Arabidopsis thaliana: one gene and its partner. The protein of the gene in region 2 interacts with the protein of the main gene of each other region in a pairwise test. Each region holds a gene or a part of one and is shown on either strand. Other genes may lie near its edges. The genes, in order: DDL and AT4G15545.

Region 1 (6,189 bases), on a different chromosome or scaffold from region 2:
CTCTCGGTTTCTTGGAACTAGGGTTGTGAATCTCGGGATCAGACTTATCCGACTCGGACCCTCCAATAGGTCAGAGCCACTGCCTCGTTTAAGTTCGGAAAGAACGGCGTCGATGCTGAGAATGCTGGAATCTATGGCAGCCAGTCACGTGATGATTTTGACAGAGACGACGTCGAACAGGTTCGTGTTCACTTCAAGCTTCTAGAGTCAAATATGTCAATCTTTGTTTTGTTACAAGGGCGCTTATAAAAGCTTCCGTACGTGGTTGTGTCTGAGTTTGTGAATGAAGAAAACAGAGGAAATGTTAGATTTATTATTGTCGTTTCTGTGTTATTTGCAGTATTTTAACTACATGGGGATACTTGCGGTGGAAGGTACCTAAGATAAGATGCACCATGTCGACATCCTTTTAATGCTAGCAGTCTCGGAGGGAGACAAGCCTAAAATTGAAGAGCTTCTCAAACGCTGACTACACGGTTAAGGATGCTGACGGCAGAACCACTCTTGACTGAGCAAGCAGGGAGGAGATCCGTGACTTGATCCTTGAATCCCTCACTAAAGGCTTGACAAATAAGTAGTTTTCAATCGCAGAGTTAGCTTTATCTTACTAAGAAAGTGATGTCCGTTTTGGTAACTCTAGTTGAAATCTCAGTCGTCTCCATGTTTCTACGTTAAGTTAGGTCGAAACCCTCAGGGAGCGACAATTTTAAAGTAGAGATTGATCTTATACAGTTATACCAAAAGTTAACCTTTTTCTCTTACCAATCGTTCATCATCATTTATTATATAACAAGCAAGCAAAAGATTTCTAAATGATGTCTGAGATTATCACCAGCACGGTAGAAAGCATACATGAAGCAGCTCAAACATCTCTAAAAACCCTGAGAAACGCAACTATCTAATCTTGTGATTTACTCGTTTCTGCTTGACTCTGATTTCATTCACTCGGCAGAATTCTCGTGCAACAGTACGTACTCTCGGCTGCAACCAAAAGAACAAAACATGTCAAGAACAGAAGAAAGTAGATGTTAACTGCACAGCAAGCAAAGATTAATCACAGAGAATAGGCACGGGGTATGATTCATAATGGGAAACCAGAACTAGAATGTGTCTTCATTAGAATACCTGCTGTTGCCAAACTTTATGGTGTCTTTCTCAAAAAGCTCATAATATCTTTGTGGCTCAATGGGACTTTCCTGAAAAAGTAAAAGAAGTTCTAATCACAAACGTTTGAATTAACCATGATAAAGAAGCACATAAGAAGGAATGTAATTGAGCACTTACATTGATATAAGTTTTGTTGGTACTACCAAGATCCATTATGTAAGGCCTGGAAAGTGACATTAAGGGAAATTAAAATTTAGCTTAAAGCCAGAAGAGGTACAAATTTTAAGCAAAATGAAAGAGCAGATAGGTTTTACTTCACTTGCTTCCCCATCATACCATCTGGTTTCTCCTTTTCCATTTCCCTGAGAAAAGCACATTCACAGTGACATAAATATTAAACTAAAAACCTTATTCTCATTAAATCTATTGTCATAGATATTACTACTTAAAAGGAGAAATACATGTCAGAACCCTACCGGTACTGAATGACAGCATGCTGCTTGCTGCAAGATGGGTGATCCGTAGGAATGTCGGCAATCCTTCTTTCACGTCCAAAGAGGTAGCAGCTTTGGCGGTGAAGGCAGAGTGGCTCTGTTAGTCCAACACATTTCACATGCACAGAAACATACATCAAGAAAACTGATTCAGGGCATTCAGAATTATTAAGCAAACAGAAATGGGAAACAAAATGTAAAATCTTATATACAATGTTCAGGGGTTCAAAGTAAGAATGACACGGGAAGCCACAGTCACAAACATATCAGATCAAAGGAGCTATTTTTCCTCTAAGAGTCATTAACATTCATAATAAGATTCATTCTAAGAAAATTGACAAGTTCTAAGAAGTATCAAGCTATAGTTTGGCTACTATCGGTAATCACGCTGTTATCTGGACACTAAACCATCAATGACCACAGTTTTCAAGTTTACATGGCTAGAGTGCATCAAAATTTCTTGAGTATCTCTTTCATTGCCACTACATGCTTTACTGCATATTTTGTGGACAAAAAATTGACGTTCACCACAGTAAGATAGTTAAGTGAAATACATAGAAGACAAATGAACCACTACTTAGACAGATGGATAGAGATGTGGAAGACGTCAAAGACTCACCATTCAGTGGTTCACCATCCTTAAAAACATACAGTCTCCATCGTTCGCTGGGTTTTCTAGCCTCTGGGGGCTCATTGAAGAGGAGTGTGATACCTGCAAAGGATTCACTCAGTCAAGGAAGCTAAGCATGCCTATGGTGAAATTTAATGCGAGAAACCACCGTCTCCATTCCTAGGAGCAAAAGCGGATTGGCAGTCAAAAGATATCTGCTGATAGCAGATGCTTATATATTGAAGCTTCTAGTCTCATTAGATATTGACCAAAGAAAGCTTTTACCCAGTGACAGACACGTACGCATACAAAATTAAGTAAATATGACCTGACAACAAAGGCAGATGTTTCGCAGTTCAAACATGCAATGAAAACACTATGGCAAAAGTTTCTAGCACAAGGTAATGGTAACAGGTGATATTCTTAAATGAAATGGACGGATCAGAAGTTTCACCTCTGTATCTGTTAGTTTCTTCAGCAAGTTTCCCTGATAGCTCAAATGATGGTTCTTCCTACAAGATATATCAAAATTAGATTTGAAGCGTTAGCATTTATGCATGGATGAGCTAAGCGAGCTCAAAATGACATTGGAAATTGAAAATCAATAGGGCTTGATATAATACCTTTTTCTTCGCTGCCAGAGCCTCTTCAACTGCTCTCATTCTCGCGACTGAATCTTCCTCGACATTTCTGTTAACGAAAACCCATAACATGGTTAAAAGAAAGACTGAAAAATTGTAACGGCTAATCTAATAAGAAGAAAACTCACGGCTCCTCGCTGCCCCCTCTTGCATTAGACCCCTGAAAAGACAAAAGGCGATAAAAATGACTGAAGAAGTAACAAAAATCTGTGGCTCGCAGAAAATGATAATTTGCAGAAAGCAACCATAATCTATATAATGAGCTTTTACTAAAAAGAGAGAAACATGAGAAGTGATGTTACTGGACATGCTGAAGGGAAACAAAGAGACTATCTTTCTTAAGTCCTTTAGCAACAGAGTAAGCAAAAAATGGCTGGCTGCAGGTTCTAGTTATAGACTCACGAGATGGATAAGCTAGATTACAGGATTCCAATTATTTATTATGTGACGAAACAAGCAGCAGAGGCTAACCTTTTCTAGCATACATCAGAGCTAAACAATTTCAATCACATTTATCTTTTCAAGCAGAATACGAATATGCACAAGTAAAACCCAAAACAAAAAAAAAAACACTTCTGAGATTAAGAACATATCCAAGCTAAAGAAAGAAGCAGAAATACCTCATCATGCCTTGAGGCAATAGCTCTTTCAGGTGAACGCCTACTACTCCTGTGACTCCTATCTGACGGTGAAGTAGACCTCTCATGTCTTCCTCTAGAGTATCTCTCATCATCTGTTCTTGTCCTTCTCCTTTTTTCAGTATCCTCTCTCCCTGATCGTCTTCTCTTATCCCCAACTTCCCTATCTCTTTCTCCTTCTCCTTTTCTCTCCCTATCCCTATCTCTTCCTATATCTCTATCCCTTTCCCTACTGTTTCTCTTCTCCCTTTCTCTACCATCATCTTCTCTCTCTCTACTTCTCCCAATTTCCTTCTCTCCTCGAGCTCTTCTCAGTCTCTTCGTACGTGGTGAAGGAGACCTAGAACTAGGAGCCATTATTGGAGTCAGGGTCGTTTTCTCTCTTCTTTGCCTTTGGAAAGATCACAAATTGAAACCAGGGTCAGAAGGAAAAGGCATGTGAGCTCCAGATAACACAGTAAACCCTAATTCCCAAATGCATAGAAACTAGAAATGGAGCAAAAGCCCTAAACCAAAAAACGTAAGCTACAGATTTCAAATACTAAATTCAGAAGTTCCGGGCATAGTCTAGGGTTGCAAGAATCGTTAAGAGAAAAAATCGCTGCATAACGAGAAAGAAAAATTTTACCTGGTGGCCGGAACTGTGACTACTTCGGCGGAGAGAAGAGGAGAGAGTGAATAATAATAATCGCAGAGATAAAAAGAATCAGAGCCAAAACGAGAAGAATCATTTATTTGGCCTCTTTTGCAAATAAATGGAAACTGAGGGGTTCAATATCAAACAAATTGTAGACGGTATGGTAAAACTTCCATTAGTTGACACGTGTCATATCTTGTTTGGTAGAAAGGATATGTATAATTAGGGCAGAAGCCGCTTGTAACGTCGTACCCTTGTACTTCCTTCGAGATTTTTGTTTCTTCGTCCTAGTTTGCAACAAAGATTTTATAATTGATCATCAAACAAATCGGTGAGCCTGTAACAAATCGAGTGCACCAGCTTTACCACCAACTTTGATAGGATAGAAGACAAATACAAGATCATAGATATAGTTGAGGTGGATAGCTAAACGACATAAACCATCAGAAGTGACAGTGATCTTGTTCTGATTGTAACAGAGTGCACCAGGTTTACCACCAACTTTGATCCTCTCATGAAGGAACTTGTGGAGAGAAATTTTCAACTTCGAGGAACATATGTCCTGAAATCCCATCTGTAGTTCTCCTTACTACCGATTTGTAGTCGCAACTGTTGGCCTTGAAGCTTATGTGGAAGACAGCATTCATAGACTCGAGCTTTAGAGACGGGTCAGTATGAGTTTCTCGGGTGATGCTTTGGTTTGTCGGGTGATGGCTCATCGAATCCCAAATCATGTCTCCTTGTTTATTTGATGTATCTTTAGTTTCATGTATATACTAGTGTACGCCAATATTATAGACGATTAAAAACTAATTCTTGTTTACGTATGAACAAAACGATATGTACTTTGTCATTATTATATTTTTTGTCAAAGATTGAGAATATTTATTTTTTTCGCATCATAGACACACAAACAAATGTTGTCTAATGATCTACCAGCCGGCTTGTATATCTAATTCAAATATCGGTCATGCATCATGCACTTCATTAGTATCTTATGTTTTGCAAAATACTGGCTAGACTGTCACATATATCAGAATCGGTCACCGTCACCTTCTTCGTTATTGTCATACGGTTTCACTATGACAAAGTCCAAATTAGGTCAAATTTTAAGCGAACATACGTAGCCTCTTACGTCATAGATTGCTGATGAAAAAGAGGCAAATTATTATAACAACCATCAAAGATTCGGTACTAACTTTACAAATTCACACAATTCGTATCTCACAATCTAAAAGTGCAATATGTCGTACATGTTTTGTAAGCTAGACAATAGTAAAATAATTATCCTGCCGGACTATAAAGGTTCGAGAACGTGGACCGACTATATTTATATATCAATTAGCTATTTGTGGTGTTAGCCTAATGTTGCCTTCATCACGTTTTCTGTTTTTTTGTTGAAGGATTTTCAAATAGATGAATTGACTATCATCACCTTGTCACGTTATAAACCATATATATTATCGTTAAACACTTAGTAGCAGTTCCCCACGAATTACATGTCTCCATCATTGACAAATTTATATTTTTGTTTGTAAGAACACTTTTTCCTTCCTCAACAAATTCTTGTACTTAATACAGATATATACTTATAAATGTTACATCAAACGCTAGATAACGGAGAATATAAGCTAAAATGAAATTAATATATCTTGTTTCAGCTTCTATCGAAATTATTTTCATTAATGGACAATATAAAATTTGATCCTTATCTACTGTTTCTGTGAATTTGTGATTATCATCAGGCAAATGTATCATTAGGCAAATGTTTTTATCTAAATTAACACTTTTATTGGAAAACTACCAAAATACATTTAGGTTCACCCATCAAAAGTACTTTATGTTGTTATGTTATATATTGTGTGCTAACTAAAAAGATTACAATTTAGCAAATCTCAAGTTGATGTGTACATTTATAATCTCCACTACAACAAGAAGGTGATCCACTTCTCTTGTATATCTTTATTTGTTCTTGCACGTACATAAAGAAATCAAACTGTTCAACTGCCATTTAGAATATTAAAACCAACAAAATAATATTATAACAAGTAAATACTTAAAC
Region 2 (4,463 bases):
TCCCTGTCGGTCCGTTACTAACGTTGAGAACGGATTTTTCGAGTCGCGGTGAATACATAGAGTGGTTGGATACTAAAGCGGATTCGTCTGTGCTTTATGTTTCGTTCGGGACGCTTGCCGTGTTGAGCAAGAAACAGCTTGTGGAGCTTTGTAAAGCGTTGATACAAAGTCGGAGACCATTCTTGTGGGTGATTACGGATAAGTCGTACAGAAATAAAGAAGATGAGCAAGAGAAGGAAGAAGATTGCATAAGTAGTTTCAGAGAAGAGCTCGATGAGATAGGAATGGTGGTTTCATGGTGTGATCAGTTTAGGGTTTTGAATCATAGATCGATAGGTTGTTTCGTGACGCATTGCGGGTGGAACTCTACGCTGGAGAGCTTGGTTTCAGGAGTTCCGGTGGTGGCGTTTCCGCAATGGAATGATCAGATGATGAACGCGAAGCTTTTAGAAGATTGTTGGAAAACAGGTGTAAGAGTGATGGAGAAGAAGGAAGAAGAAGGAGTTGTGGTGGTGGATAGTGAGGAGATACGGCGGTGCATTGAGGAAGTTATGGAAGACAAGGCGGAGGAGTTTAGAGGAAATGCCACGAGGTGGAAGGATTTAGCGGCGGAGGCTGTGAGAGAAGGAGGCTCTTCCTTTAATCATCTCAAAGCTTTTGTCGATGAGCACATGTGATTTTGGTATCAGAAATTATAACAACACTCCGCTTTTCTGTTCTTCCTTGCTCTGTTTCAATGTTTACACAATACAGTAGACAGTATTTTGGATGTTGATTGGTTAGTTTTGAAGATGATGAAATGTAATTTATTCAAGAAGAGAGAGATAGATAGATACACGAGAGAGCACAAATGATACAATCAAATTGTCAGTTTTACTTGGTCTTACTTGACAGCCAAGGAAACAAAAGAAATTGAATGTTGCAGACTGATGAATCCTGAGTTTCCGAGTATATAAGTTCTTTGTGTAACTGAAGAAGCCAAACTCTTAGTGAGCGTTGCGTGTGATCAAGCCCTCGAATATGACGTAGAGATCTCTGTTATCGCCTCCAAATATCTCTTCAGCTTTCCTAAGTGTTTCCTAGAAAACAAAGAAGAAAAGACATTGCAGGTCGAATCAGAATCCAAGTTTTGAATCGAAAGAGGGTAAAGATGATTGAGAGAGGATTCTCCTTACTTCTCTTGTTTGCTTGTGGGCGTTAAGATCCTTCACATTTCCAAGAAATGCACCAAATTGCTCGTAAGATAATCGGCTCCTGACTTGTCGAAAGAACTCTTTTCCATCAACCCGAGTTCTCGCTGAAAACGAAGATAACAAACAAACCGTAAATAAAGGTGTTGTTCCAAAACCCGCCACAAGAAAATCTTGGTTTGAACTTACCAGTTTGTGAACCAGGCTCTGAGATTGAAATAGAAGATCTAGTATCATCAAACATGCCTCTAGTGGTAGCGAACGATACAGAATGGCGTCGAGGAGAGATAGGTCTCGAAGTTGTTTTCGGTGTACCAGAAGCAGATAAGATTGGTGGAGAACCAGGAGGAGTAAGCCGTGGCGTAGTAGTTTGTGATACTAACGGAAGACTAGCTGATAAACTTGGTTTAGGAGCTACGATATAACACAAAACAAACTAACGCATTAAACACAAAAGGTTAGTGGCTTAAGCGTTGAGAGCAAGCAAGTACTATACCATCGTTTTCGTTGTCAGTTGCAGCTGGTTCAATGGCTTCAGAAGCTTGTTGAGATTGGATTGATGAATGTCTTGAAGGTTGAAATGGAGTATCATCATCTGAAAATGACAATAAACCACAATAAGAACCATCCATTTTGGTATATGAACACAAGTTTTCACTAAAATCTTCACAAGAACTATACCGTTTGGTGTCGGCTTAGCGATGATTTGCGTTGTTCCTGCCTGTTACAAAACCAAACACAATCAATTCAAGATCATGAATTTGTTACTTCAAAGCAAATTAGAGAACATGAAGAGTATAAGTTTCATACATTTTGGTCATCATCTTGAAGAGACATCATAAGCGTCTTCCTAAAACCCTCAAGCTGCACACAAATTTAGAAACAAAAACCCTAAAATCTCAGCTACTTCCAAATTTAGAAACAAAGAGACCTGACGTCAAATTTGAAACAGAGTCAAAATTACCTTTGAGACATCTCTCTGAAGTCTCTTGACAGTATTAGACAAAGAAGCATTTTCTCTTATCAGATTCTCCTGGAAGAAGATAATTAGATCAAAATCAGTAAAAATGAATCGGGTCAAAACAGAACAAATAAAGTCAAAAACCGGGTCGGGTCGGACCTTTTCACCATCAGCGAGAGAAAGCTTATGAAACGCATCGGAAAGAGAAGCCTCGAGAGACTCAACGTGAGACTGGAGTTCTTCAAATTCTTTTTCTTTCTCGGCGAGAAGTTCCCGGAGATCCGACGACTCTGATTCGAGAGCTGAGACACGTGTCGAGAGAGCAATGGATGTGATTTTGCGAGCTACATCTAGCTGCTCGAATGGATCGGACGGTAGAACTTGAAGAAGTTCATCGGGAAGATCGAAACTTCTCGAACCTGTAATTGCACTTGCTGATCCTTCTTCTTCTTCTTCTTCTATCTCTGACATTTCTCGTTTTCTGTGTTTTTTTTGTACCTTATGAGTTCATATACGGTTACGGTATAACCCGGTATTAGTATTAAACCGAAATTTGAGTCTAAACCAAACAATTTCTTGATTTTACATATCAATATTCATCGATTGAGACTGTATTATTACAAAAAGCTTCATTATGTCAACGCTAAATTCTATTGTGTTATGGGAAATACAATTCCGGTTTGGGATTGATACCGGTTCGGTTATGTAATGTTGATATGATTGAATTGATAGACGTGAATGTGTGTGGATAAAGAGAAATGTGGTCACGTATGGTTTGTCTTTTTGTGTGAAGTGATATGACATAATGTGTGGTATTGAATTGGGTAAGCCAAGTTTTTGTTCTATGAATGGATAGGACTATAATTCATTGGACACATAAGAGGAGACAAATACATTGTATCCAATTCCAAACGTCAAACTGGATACAAAACCGGATTCAAATTGCAAACAAACCGAAAATCCGGACATAGCTGGATTTTACCCCCTAGAAAAGTAAATAAATTCCTTATACTATAAGAAATATTATCATTTTCTCAACAAATAAGTATATCATTTTTCACATTTCAATGTATCATGTTAGATTTTTTTTGTACAAGTCATAAGATCTTACAACTTACAAGATAAATAGGGATCATCATCATCTAATGGGACCATAATTATGAATAAAATAAGAAAACGATTACACTTGTCTCCAACATATTTTCATGACAAGGTTTCAATCTTCTTCTCTGTCGTGTGAAGGCAATAAAAGTGATTGCTCAGAATCACTTACTGTTTTGGTTGAATCCTCTCTTGCTTTGCCCCAAATCACAGTGTAAAACCCAAAGCTCAATATCACTGATCCAATCACACTGCCCACAACACATAGATGCAAATTTATATGTACCAATCATGTAAATCTTATTACCTAACAACCGAAAATCTATATCGATTGTTAGTTGTTACTGTCTTCACATTTTATTATTCATTATGTATTTGAAGATGAAACTAAACATTTCAAACACCTAGAACTAAGTTATCATCACTATGTTTCTTTAAGAAAGAGACATTATAAAGTTGAAGGTAATAAGATGGTACCTCCCAAGATGAAGTGTGTCGCCGAGGAATATAGCAGCCATGGCGACTGCAATTGCGATAGACAGCGGCTTGAACAAGGATATGTAGACTGGACCCTTCACATGGAGACCCCATGTGTGGATAACTGAGCCCAATGATGTATCAAAGAGTCCCTGAAACAGAGTATTAGTTTCTGAGCTAAAGATTTGATTTCTCAACTTATGAGGTTTGATTACTTACCGAGTATATGACTGAAGCGAGGGAGAAACCTGGTTTAAGCTGCCAAGAATTCAAGTCTTTTTCTACAAGTAGACATACTGTCCCTGAGATTAGAGTTGCGCATAAGTTGTAGCAGAAGACTACGGCTATTTCTTCAGGGTATATCTCCATGATATGAGTCTAAAATCATGTGGAAGTGACAAATTTAGCTCAATCTTATGCGTCACCAACAAATCCAAAAATCTCTTTCATGAATCTGTTCCAAGTGTATGTACTACCTGAAGAATAAACCAGACTGAAAGAAGCAAAAACTGCAGACCGAGCAAAAGGCCTCCAATTATCCAACTTGACTCGAATGAAGTAAACGATGCAGCAACAAGAAGTTTTGGGCCTTTATACAGAACAATAACCAGAGCACCAGATATAGAAACTATTGTGCCAATGATTTTAGCCTGAGTTGCAGAGCTTCTTAACATTACTTGTTCCATCCTTTAAGTCACCCAAGGAAGCAGAACAAGTCATCAAAGTTAGAGTTA

What was found.
Region 1: the proteins of AT4G15545 (region 2) and DDL interact in a two-hybrid assay, tested with the Arabidopsis thaliana proteins (one large-scale study listed by BioGRID).

Annotation. Positions count from the first base shown.
Region 1 is NC_003074.8:7,173,754-7,179,942, forward strand, and holds DDL (SMAD/FHA domain-containing protein), read right to left. Parts: upstream 4,268-6,189; 5' UTR 4,119-4,267; intron 3,882-4,118; 5' UTR 3,848-3,881; coding exon 3,473-3,847; intron 3,013-3,472; coding exon 2,981-3,012; intron 2,902-2,980; coding exon 2,835-2,901; intron 2,724-2,834; coding exon 2,666-2,723; intron 2,314-2,665; coding exon 2,221-2,313; intron 1,699-2,220; coding exon 1,584-1,698; intron 1,470-1,583; coding exon 1,422-1,469; intron 1,331-1,421; coding exon 1,285-1,330; intron 1,197-1,284; coding exon 1,126-1,196; intron 982-1,125; coding exon 942-981; 3' UTR 683-941; downstream 1-682. Other genes in the region: AT3G20555 (uncharacterized protein), read right to left, coding at 4,447-4,638, 4,721-4,861. UniProt on the Arabidopsis thaliana protein: Involved in the microRNA (miRNA) and short interfering RNA (siRNA) biogenesis. May facilitate DCL1 to access or recognize primary miRNAs. Binds RNA non-specifically.
Region 2 is NC_003075.7:8,874,091-8,878,553, reverse strand, and holds AT4G15545 (PH-response transcription factor), read right to left. Parts: upstream 2,899-4,463; 5' UTR 2,623-2,898; coding exon 2,311-2,622; intron 2,224-2,310; coding exon 2,155-2,223; intron 2,055-2,154; coding exon 2,001-2,054; intron 1,912-2,000; coding exon 1,872-1,911; intron 1,786-1,871; coding exon 1,687-1,785; intron 1,605-1,686; coding exon 1,380-1,604; intron 1,298-1,379; coding exon 1,176-1,297; intron 1,080-1,175; coding exon 987-1,079; 3' UTR 755-986; downstream 1-754. Other genes in the region: IAGLU (indole-3-acetate beta-D-glucosyltransferase), read left to right, coding at 1-677; UMAMIT38 (EamA-like transporter family), read right to left, coding at 3,368-3,503, 3,730-3,881, 3,949-4,107, 4,206-4,416.